Linked DNA regions of Rattus norvegicus. The main gene of each other region encodes a partner of the protein of the gene in region 3 in a complex. Links are inferred from orthologs where the notes say so. Each region holds a gene or a part of one and is shown on either strand. Other genes may lie near its edges.

Region 1 (3,653 bases), on a different chromosome or scaffold from region 3:
GCTGCTGAGGACTAATGGTGCTCAGAGTGCAGCCCAGACAGTGCAGGCTGGGTTTGCGTCCACTCTACAGCTACGGCTTTGCGTCTCTGCCTGTGCACTTTTCCTAGAGGCCACAACTCTGCAATGATACTGAAGTGGCTGTAACCAAATCCACATTCAAATGTGGTGCTTTCCTAAGTCAGATGGTAGCCCTGGTAAGGCGTGAGTGTCCCCAGCACTGTGTGACTGCTGTGCCCATCTGTCTGTCTAGCACAGGGCTTAGTGTCTGTCACTCAGCAGTCACTGGGAAGGACACACCAAGAGGTCCCTGAGGGTCCCCTTCTTCCTTCAATCTCTCTCAGTTCTGAGACAGACAGGGCTGTTTATCTCATGAGCAGTGGCTTGGGGAGATCACGTCTGCAGCATGTGCATGCCCTGCCACTCTAAAGCTGCCCTGAAGCACACCCTCAACAACTCCCACAGGCCTGTAGACAGCGCACAGGCTCAAGCTCACTATGTGCACTCGCAAGGACTTCAGTCCTAATGACTCGACACATGAAGCCTGTGCTCCTCAGTGAGCTTCACACCCATTTACTTCCACAAGCCATCGCCCTGCAGTCTTTTAGAACTTGTACCATTGGCTCAGGTATCTGAACCAGGCAGTAATTACATAAACTTTGACTTACAAGGATTTCTTGGGTTCAGACAAAAGCTGACAGAGAAACTGAATGGTGCAATAAATAACTATCTGTACATTTATTGGATTCCTTTAAATTTTGCTGGTCAACAAGATCCTAAAATGATTTTACAGTGGATTAAAACAGAACCATGATTGCTAGCTGAAAATCTAAATACTTCACTTGTTCCCTAGGTAGAAAACAGTTCATCTTACTTAGCAGCCTCATTCTTCCCTGTTTCCTAAGAAGGAACTGGAAACCAATCCTGAGTGAAAAGTGGGGCAGTCAGCAGAGAGACAGAAGCAAGCATCAGCAAGTATACCAAGCATGACAGGCAAGCCCAGTGCAGTGGCACTGGAGAGCACAGCAGGACCTGGCAGTGCCAAGCTGTGCCACCTGGTAAAGCAGTTCCCAGACCCCAGGGCTAGTTTTAAGGGAAGCAGAGCTAAGAACCCACTAGCCACATGATAAGGAGCCAACACTGGCCACAGCCACATCAGACAGTGTGAGCAAAATCTCTTCCCTTAGCACAGGCTCCACCAGGCCGCCAGTCTAACCTCTGGCTGCAGAGGGTATAGGGGGAAGGCGATGGATGGGTGGGAGTGGCCACTCAGAGAGTGAAGACTATCAGAACCTGTCCAGAGAGTCTGGGGCTGAGGCTCCAGGACCTCGCTCAGCAGCTAGAGCCCAAATAGAGCTTGGCAGAGCCCGGCCAGGCACTCCCAGGGCAGCCGGCCTGGCAGTCCTTTCCCTTCCCCACTGCGGTCTGCAGTCATTGGCTGCTGGAACATTCCCACAGCTCTGGGGAGAATAATCTACTGGAAGGAGCGGAATATCCAGGGCCAGGGTCCTTCAAGCCCACAGTCTTTTCAGGAGGCAGAACTGTCACATGGCATAGGTGCTGGCTTCCAAGTCCAGGGTCCTTCTGCCCCTTCCCACCCAGCTCCTCAAGCTGACACCATGTAAACTGCTGGTGTCTATCACAGACACATGGCCAGAATGAGCCCTGAGGCAGAACTGGTTTACTCGCTCCTAAGGCTCATCATCTTTGAGTTCGCTGCTGGCTCAGATGGGCCAACATACAGTCAGTCTCCCTGCCTGACAACGGTCCCTGAGAAGGGGCAAGTGCTGGAGCCCACTCATCTCCACAATCCCTGCAGTGAGACTGGCAAAGCGCTGGTCCATCCACACATGCACATGGCCCGGACACACATTTGTGTTTGTAAATTTTTGCTTTATCTGAGGAAGAAGTTCTTTCTTTCAAAGAAAACAGAGTTTGCACTGCTGATACAAATATTGTTTCTCTGGGCAGACGAGACACCAAGTCACCAGCAATTTCTCCCTTTACTTTTCCCAATCACGCCTCAATCTGTTACTGTATTACCTAACTTTAAAGTCCCACGCTGAAATCATTACCTTACACAAACCAAAGCTCCTCCCACTACTGACAACCATCAGCAACTCCAATCGGAGGTAGGTTCTACGGCAAACGCCACATTACACTTACACACAGCTCTCTGAAATAATCTTAATTTGTCTACACACACGCTCATGCACAGAGAGACACACGCGCTCACGCACAGAGGAAATCTCATTTAAAAATAAACACACGGTCCTGCAAAAGACAACATGGTCACAAACGAGAGTAAGCAAGAAACCAGTCTGAGCCTGAGCTGCCGTGGCCCTGTGACGAGCACTTGGAAACCAGCATGGTTGCATCGCATGCGGTAAGTGGTAGAGCTGCGCACGTACTTGTAGCCGTCTCTAATGGAAGAGGCTGCAGGGGGCATGGGCAGCTGCTCCATTTTCGGAGGAACCGCCCATGAGGGCCGGAACAGACAGGCATCCGGTGTCTTCAGAGGCAGCAGGCAATGGCTTGGCAGCGTCTTCAGTGGAGCAAACATAGAAGAGCCCACGAAAGGCTGGAACTGCGGCACTCTGTGCACGTAGGAAAAGTCCTGTGACAATGAGGGGCTGGGTTAATGCTGGCACGCCGAAGCCAGCCCTGGGTGCTCAGCGCTTCCTAAAACCCGGGCACAGAATCTGCTGTAGAAACAGCTCTCTACATGACGGAGTGAGAGGGAAAACCTAATGCCCTCACTGCTGGTGAGCAGCGGTCAGTGTCCGTCTACTGACGGGCTCCGGCTTCAACAGCCCTTACACACGCGTGTGTGGGCGCCACCGAGAAGCCGCCCAGCCATGGGGAAGCGCACACACTGGTCATTACCTTTATGTCCTCTGGCTTGGGACTTCCTAAGCCATCTTCCACTTCCATCCGGAACTCCGTGAGGTGTGTGGGGACCATACTGACCACAGGGCTCTCCAGCATGCCCAATGCAGTCACTGTCTCTGAACTCACTCCATCTTTGTAATTCATCACCGGGGAAAATGCAGGATGCTGTTCCAATGATGGAGGGGTGGGGAACATCCTTTGCAAGTCTGCAACTGCTAAAAACAAAATTAAAAGTGCATCTTAACAGCAAGATTCCGAAAAGCTCTGACAAGCAGCCAGGCACAGCAGTATCCACACAAGGCTAACGGACTTTCAAGACACAGGTCACGCTCAGGCGTCCACACGTCCCTGGGACCCCCTCTTCATGCTGTATGGTGTCATGCTAATTCAGTCACCAGGGTCTGCAGAGCATGCTTTCCTTCCCATAGTTGACTCTAAGACCTGAAGGAGACGGGTGGAGAAGAAAGTGAAAGCTCTCCAACTACACTACTTATGAAAGTCTATCTCCATCTCCAGACGTTTATGAAATAGTAAGAGAATAAAAATTATTTAGAGCAAGCCTGGGGGGTGGGTGACTGAATCACACAGTCCTGCTCTTTGGGGAATGATCTCACACTGTCTTTCTAGCCATACAATTTTAGAGTTAAGTAATAATAGTACCCAGACTCTAAGGGCTTTGTCAACAGGGCAGGGCACACAGTGGCCAGAAAATAGTTTACAGTCAGTGTTTAGCAAGCCTGTGCACATTCCTGGCTTCTGTCCTC
Region 2 (2,984 bases), on a different chromosome or scaffold from region 3:
AGACTTGCATGTGAAAGCTGGATGACACACTGGCCTTCTCACTAGTCACAGTTCAGTTCTGGTGCCTCTGCTGGCAGAGCCATCACCTGCTCCGTTATTATTAGGTCTTTTGCTTAGCAAGCTTCTTTCAGTGCTGCATTTCCACTCATGACAAGGACCAAGCAAAGTACCCAAGTGGTCATTCTTCAGGCTACATCTCATGTTTAAAGCCAACTGTGAGCTCAAATGGAAAAGAGCAAAAATGAAGGGACTGAAAAGACAGCTCAGTAGTTAAGAATGTTTTTGCTCTTGCAGAAGACCTGATTCCATTCCCAATATCCAAATCTGCCTGAGACACCATATCCAGAGGAGTTGATGCCCTCTTCTGGCCTCCAAGGGTACTGCAAACTCAAGAACAAACCCCCCCCCCCCATTCCCGCCATGCGTGCCATTAAAAACAAAATCTTTTTTTTTTTTTAAATCAAGAATGGGGTTGGGGATTTAGCTCAGTGGTAGAGCGCTTGCCTAACAAGCACAAGGCCCTGGGTTCGGTCCCCAGCTCTGAAAAAAAGGGAAAAAAAAAATCAAAAATGTGGGAATGGAAGCAAGGCAACTTCAATTACCAAGATGCAAGATTGTTTGTGCTTCTCTTTATTTTTTAGAAACTGATCCCTTCTTATGTAGGAACTGAGAGTCCATATTTACCACACTTAACATCTGTGTTTTCAAGCGACCAGTACAAAGTACAAAGTAGACAGCCTGCAACAAGACCAAACACAGAACAGAAGGCCGAAACTGTAGTGTTTGTCAATTTTATTGTGGTATCTAAAACACCTCAGTTTTTACACAGCAACAATAAAAGAGTAACAACAAAAGCAAGAGGAAGTAACAGGATAACCAGGAAGGTGTGATGAGCTGTCCTGCCCACCAAAGCTAGGACACAAGAATGACCCACCTCCTCAGAGCTGCTGCACAAACACTGCCACCCTACACTTTGTATATGAACAGCTTTCCCAAGCCTGTCTACGTGTTAAATGTTTCTGTAACAGGTGTGAGGCAGGTGAGCAATGTCAGTGAGTTCAAGGCTCAAGCCAGCCAAGACGGCAAACTAGGAAGCCCCCTGAGAAAACTGAGTGTTGAGTGTCAGGAATGTGTGTCCACAGTGATCTAATCAACTTTGAAAAACATCCCTATCTCTTTCCTCAGCAGACTGTGGGCACGGAGATACTGAGCGTGCTTTGATCCTGTGGTGAGGAAAGCATTCTGGGGACAGTATGATAGAAGGAACAGTAAGACATAAGAAGCCAAGTTCCTGGTAACCCTGTGGAGTTCATTCTGTTCTGTGGAACTGAATGCCTCTGAACTATTAACGAAAAATAAGCTGTGCAGTAAGAGCCCTCTGCTTTTGGTTCTGCTACAGCAACTTGGCCTGCAGGTTCACATAATTCAAAACAGTAGGGGAAGACATCAGTGTCCAAAGAATGAAAGCAACACTCTCGCAGCCAACAATCCCGTCCTGCCAGCCACATCCTCAAGCGAAAGCAGCACAGGCATACAGCCTATTCGAAATGCTCAGCACCTGGGGACACACAGCTCTAGCACTGGTGGGCACAACCCTGTCCTACCTTTTGCCTACAGGAGGAAAGGCCCAAGCCTTTCCATTCTTCACAATTACCATTCTTGAGGACCAGCCAAATCCAGTTAAAGCATGAAGTAAAGAACAGCTGTGATGTGGTCAGGAGGGGAGTCCAAAGCCCTGGAACACAAGCTACAGCTGGGACCCAAGTCCAGCACGTGGTCCTTGACAGTGCCATGGTGACAGCTCAGCAGGCGGCAGCTGCCAGTCACTAGCGGATCCCAGCCACAGGCACTTGCTGCTGTTTCCGGACCTTGTTGAAGAGCTCCATGTACTGTACCATGGTATCTGCTGGCCCGTAGACCGCATCATGTCTGTTCCCAAACACTGTGGGCGCCCCTGGTGTGTGGCTACCTAGAAAACTCTGTAGGAATTCAAGCAGGAGGCTCCAGCAGTCACTAGCTACCACACAAGGGCCATACTCCACCTGGGACAAGAGAACAGACAGCAAGGGTAAGGACAAGGATGGGCTAGCTAGCTTCCCTCCTGCAACTGCAACCGTCCAGTCACTGGTGAAACAATTAGACAGTGTTGGCCTGGGAGCCTCCTGAAAAGAAACTTGACACGAGGGTCCTTCCTTTTCTCTACCTGGGCACTTCCCAGACTCTCTTGTTTGGTTGTTACTTTGTGACAGGATCTAACTGTGCAGCTGCAGTTGGCTTCAGACTCGCAGTCCTCGGGCTCTGTCTCCCAAGTGCCGAGACAGTAAGCATGTACCAGCACTCCCGGCCTCCGACTCCTTCCTCCTTAGTCTGTCCACTGCTTTACAGGTTACCATTTCAGTCAGCAAGACTCAGCCTGGTTCCCTAAGCCACATGCCTTTCTGGACTCACTTCACATGTGTGTGTTTCAGCTCTGCTTGCTTACCAAAACCATGCATTTTCAGAATTGTTTTATTGTTTCTAAAATCGCAGTTAATGCTGGACACATGGTAGGCTATGGACTTTCACTCTAAAGCTATCTTTCCATACTCTCCATGTCATTTTCAACATCTACATATTTAGGTTCAGTGTTGAAGGCCATCAGCCAGTAAAAATGCTTGCCACCAAGCCCGATAGCCTGAGTTCAATCCCCAGGACCCACATGGCAGGAAGAGAGAACTGATTGCTCCAATCTCTAGATGCACACCTACACCCACGATAAGTATGGTCAATTTTTTTTTTTGACTAAAAAAACTAGATGAAGGCATCTCATACACACATTCTTGGCCATCATGAAAGTGGACAGATGCCACAGGGAAAGATACAGTTTTGTTCCACAGCTCTGGAAGCCTCTTGTAAAACATACTAAGGTGGGGCACGGTGGGCACTGTATGACTGACAGCCCACCTCAGACATCCCTCAGAAAGCTGTGTCCTCAGCCCTTCCTG
Region 3 (3,215 bases):
CCCTAGAACTTCTGCCTGGTCTACATACAAAATGATGTCTCTCCTCTTGTTGATGACTTAGTTCCTCTTCAGAAAACCTGCCTGCCTCAACCATCTCCCCCGTCCCTGCCTACTCATGTATGGGTTCCCATTGAGGCTGTGTCCTGGTTCTAGAGTCTCTTTCCAGAGGTAGCAAAATGGTGGCCTAATGGCCTCATGAGACCCACAGCAGATTTTGTTTGGTCCTCAGTGTGTGTGGTAGTTTTGGTTTGAAGGCCACCAGGTGGGGGACGCACTCTCCAGGTTCGCCACAATCCCTAGCACCCAGTGTCTTGGAGCCATGGGCACACACTGGCTGCATGGCCACATCACCTTGCCTTCACGTCTTCAGCTGCACCTGGTGCCCTAGTCCTCTTTTACTTTCTGAGAATCACCCAGGGGCGGGGCCTCATGGGATAAGAGGCCTCCTAGCCCCTCCCAGCCAGGCCCCAGGGCAGGGGTAGAAGTGAACCCGCTAGCAGGGGCCAGGCTGTCACACAAGTGGGTGGATTAGTCAGGGAGAAGGAAAGCCCACGGCCAGAAAGATAATCAAATTGGATCTTTACTGAGCTATGGTGAACGCACGGAATACAACACAAACACGTATGATACTAGAGTTCATACTTTAAATTCAAAATTGAAAAAATACAAATTGAAAAATAGAAATATTTAGTTATTAAAATTTCTCTCTTGTAATTCTCTTGTGCCTTTTGAGTGGAAGGTTGACACCTGCCCTTCTACACCCAGGTGTCAGTGCTGGCATTGGTTGGGACAGAGAGATGGGCAGGTGAAATTTCAACCTTAATCCTTAAAACGGAGTTTTTTGATTTAGTAACGGAAAACAGTGACTGTCACAAGTGTGGGCAGCCAAACACTCAGGATACTGCTGGACAGAGGTAAAGGATCCTCGCCATCTTGCAGAACTGCATGCACCCTGTTGCACTGCAACTCGGACTGGGGTCTGCATTCACATCATCGTAAGGCGAGCTAGCCAGTGTTAGCTCAAGTTCAAGTAGAATATGGCCCTCGGGGAACTTGGTCTTGGGTCTCACAGTGTGGGTAACTGGTCCTGGCCGCCTCTCATTTCCAGAAACCAGCTGCAGCAAGGATAGGCAGTCCCACTATTGCTCGAAAAGGCATCCATCTGCCAGGATCACACCCCAGTCATACATTCAGGAGCTGTTCGTGAATGTCCTTCTGAGACAGAGTCAGTGTTCACAAGGGTGGGAACTTCAACCAAACGTGTCTAACCAGGTTCCCTCCAGGGAACCAGGGCTCGGCTCGGCACACTCTGAAGTGAACTGAACAGGCCAGTTCAGATTCCCTGCATGTCCTGGTCTCAGGCAACTGGCTCAGTTCAAGTACAGGAATGCGAGTCAAGGCGTCATGGTGTTTCTTTGAGCATCTCAATTCCTGGTTACTGAGACTAGGATCTGAGCTGGGTCCTGGCAAACAGTGCCACTTGGGATGGAGGTATGGGACAGCCCCACGATGGACAGCCCGACCACCATGAGTGGGACGGAGGTATGGGACAGCCCCACAACGGACAGCCCGACCACCATGAGGGGACTGTAGCTGTGCTTATGAATCTGATGTCTGCATGCACAAGAGCAAGCCACTTCAAAGTCAGGGGCTGGCTTGGCGCCACCTCACAGACTACCTCGGTTGCATGGAGATCACCACCACCACAAATAAATAAAGCTAACCATGTGCTCAGAGTTTCTGTGCAGCCATCAAAAGGCCACTGCTGTGGTTCAGGCAACTGGATCCGTAAGGCCTCTGACTCCTGTGTGCTTCAGCCTGCAAAAGCTTGTCAGACTCACAGGACAGCCTTGATGACAGTTCTTTTCTCCACTGCACTGCATGGCTATTCCTGGCTCTCCAAAGCCTCGCTGGCTCGGAGGGCCCTCTTGAGTTCCTGCAGGAGTGTGTCGCGGCTCTGCGCTGTGTACTGACCGTAGCTCCTGCTGTGCTGGGACTCATAGTGGCGCTTCAGGTTGTACTCTTTCAGCACTGACACGTTTTTTTTGCATATTAAGCACGTAGGCATGCTCTTCACTTCCACAAAGAAATAGTCTCGCTCCCATTTTTCTCGAAACACGCGGCCCTCTCCTTCTCTCTTTCGTTTGGCCACTTTTGAAGGAGACATGGGTACAAGAAAGATTTCACTTTTCTCTGAATGCTACCACAGAACCACCATGGTGCCAGCCCCGTGACTGAGGCAGGACCCCTGCCTCACCGTGGAAGAGCAAGAGTGGTGGGGACTGTGGCGAACCTGAGAGCATGAGCCCCACTGACAAGGCTACTACTGCCAGGCAGAAGGGTGGGCCCGGTGTGTCAGTCTTCTGACACATCAAGAGGAGCAGACTGCAGACTGTGTGAACGTCATAGGTGCTTTACAGCTAACGGGTAAAAAGACTGTGCCATGCTAGCACAGGGAAGGCCAAACAAAACCCATCTGTGGTGGCCCATGGGCCACTAGATTGCAGCCTCTCTCCTGGGATGGGTCAGTCACCTGCACATTAACTAGCGCCTCACACCCAGGCAGTGGTGGTCCAGACACAGACCACACTCAGCGACATGTGCCTGTGTGACAAACCTCTCACTCACTCTCCAGGGGGGACACCTGCACACAGGCCTGAGGGCAGACCGTAAGACAGAAGCTACCCAACCTATCCACACCTGCACCTGGAACCCAGTGCCTGCTGTTTGTGAAACCCTGACTGCTACGGCCTCAAGCACAGAACACATTCCCGTGGGGACATCCTGATTTCCTGGTGTGGCACGTGCCACTTAGGCACCCCCATTCCCTCTTGCTTGCCCTGCTCCTACAAACCATCGCACCTTCCTGACACCCAGCCCTACTGGCAGTCTATGCAGTCCTGCATCCCCAGGACCAATCTCCAGCTTCCCAGTCTGGACTCTGCAGCTCCGGCTCCTTCCTGAAATGCTCATCCCAGGAGCGTCCACCTCCTGGCCCTGCACGCCCCTTTTCTGTGGCTTTGGCTATCTGCACCTAGGTCCCTTCTGGCTCCCAATTACTGCTTCTCCTTCCAGGCTCCTCGGAACCCTGGCTGGGTCAGAGGCATTCTGGGCTCCATAACCCCTTAAGTGCACGTGAGCTGTACACTACCTGCCCACCTGCCTCCAAGTCTCGCAGAACCAGGCACACCATGCTGCCTCCAACTCACCCCAGG

Evidence for each region.
Region 1: Med25 (region 3) and Med13l share a complex: the UniProt entries of both Homo sapiens proteins name them as parts of the mediator complex. The link is inferred for Rattus norvegicus from reciprocal best matches to the Homo sapiens genes MED25 and MED13L.
Region 2: Med25 (region 3) and Med20 share a complex: the UniProt entries of both Homo sapiens proteins name them as parts of the mediator complex. The link is inferred for Rattus norvegicus from reciprocal best matches to the Homo sapiens genes MED25 and MED20.

What each region holds. Positions count from the first base shown.
Region 1 is NC_086030.1:43,491,274-43,494,926, forward strand, and holds part of Med13l (mediator of RNA polymerase II transcription subunit 13-like), read right to left. Parts: intron 3,105-3,653; coding exon 2,884-3,104; intron 2,615-2,883; coding exon 2,409-2,614; intron 1-2,408. UniProt on the Homo sapiens protein: Component of the Mediator complex, a coactivator involved in the regulated transcription of nearly all RNA polymerase II-dependent genes.
Region 2 is NC_086027.1:20,867,067-20,870,050, forward strand, and holds the end of Med20 (mediator of RNA polymerase II transcription subunit 20), read right to left. Parts: intron 2,043-2,984; coding exon 1,827-2,042; 3' UTR 615-1,826; downstream 1-614. UniProt on the Homo sapiens protein: Component of the Mediator complex, a coactivator involved in the regulated transcription of nearly all RNA polymerase II-dependent genes.
Region 3 is NC_086019.1:104,495,885-104,499,099, forward strand, and holds the end of Med25 (mediator of RNA polymerase II transcription subunit 25), read right to left. Parts: intron 2,152-3,215; coding exon 1,886-2,151; 3' UTR 563-1,885; downstream 1-562. UniProt on the Homo sapiens protein: Component of the Mediator complex, a coactivator involved in the regulated transcription of nearly all RNA polymerase II-dependent genes.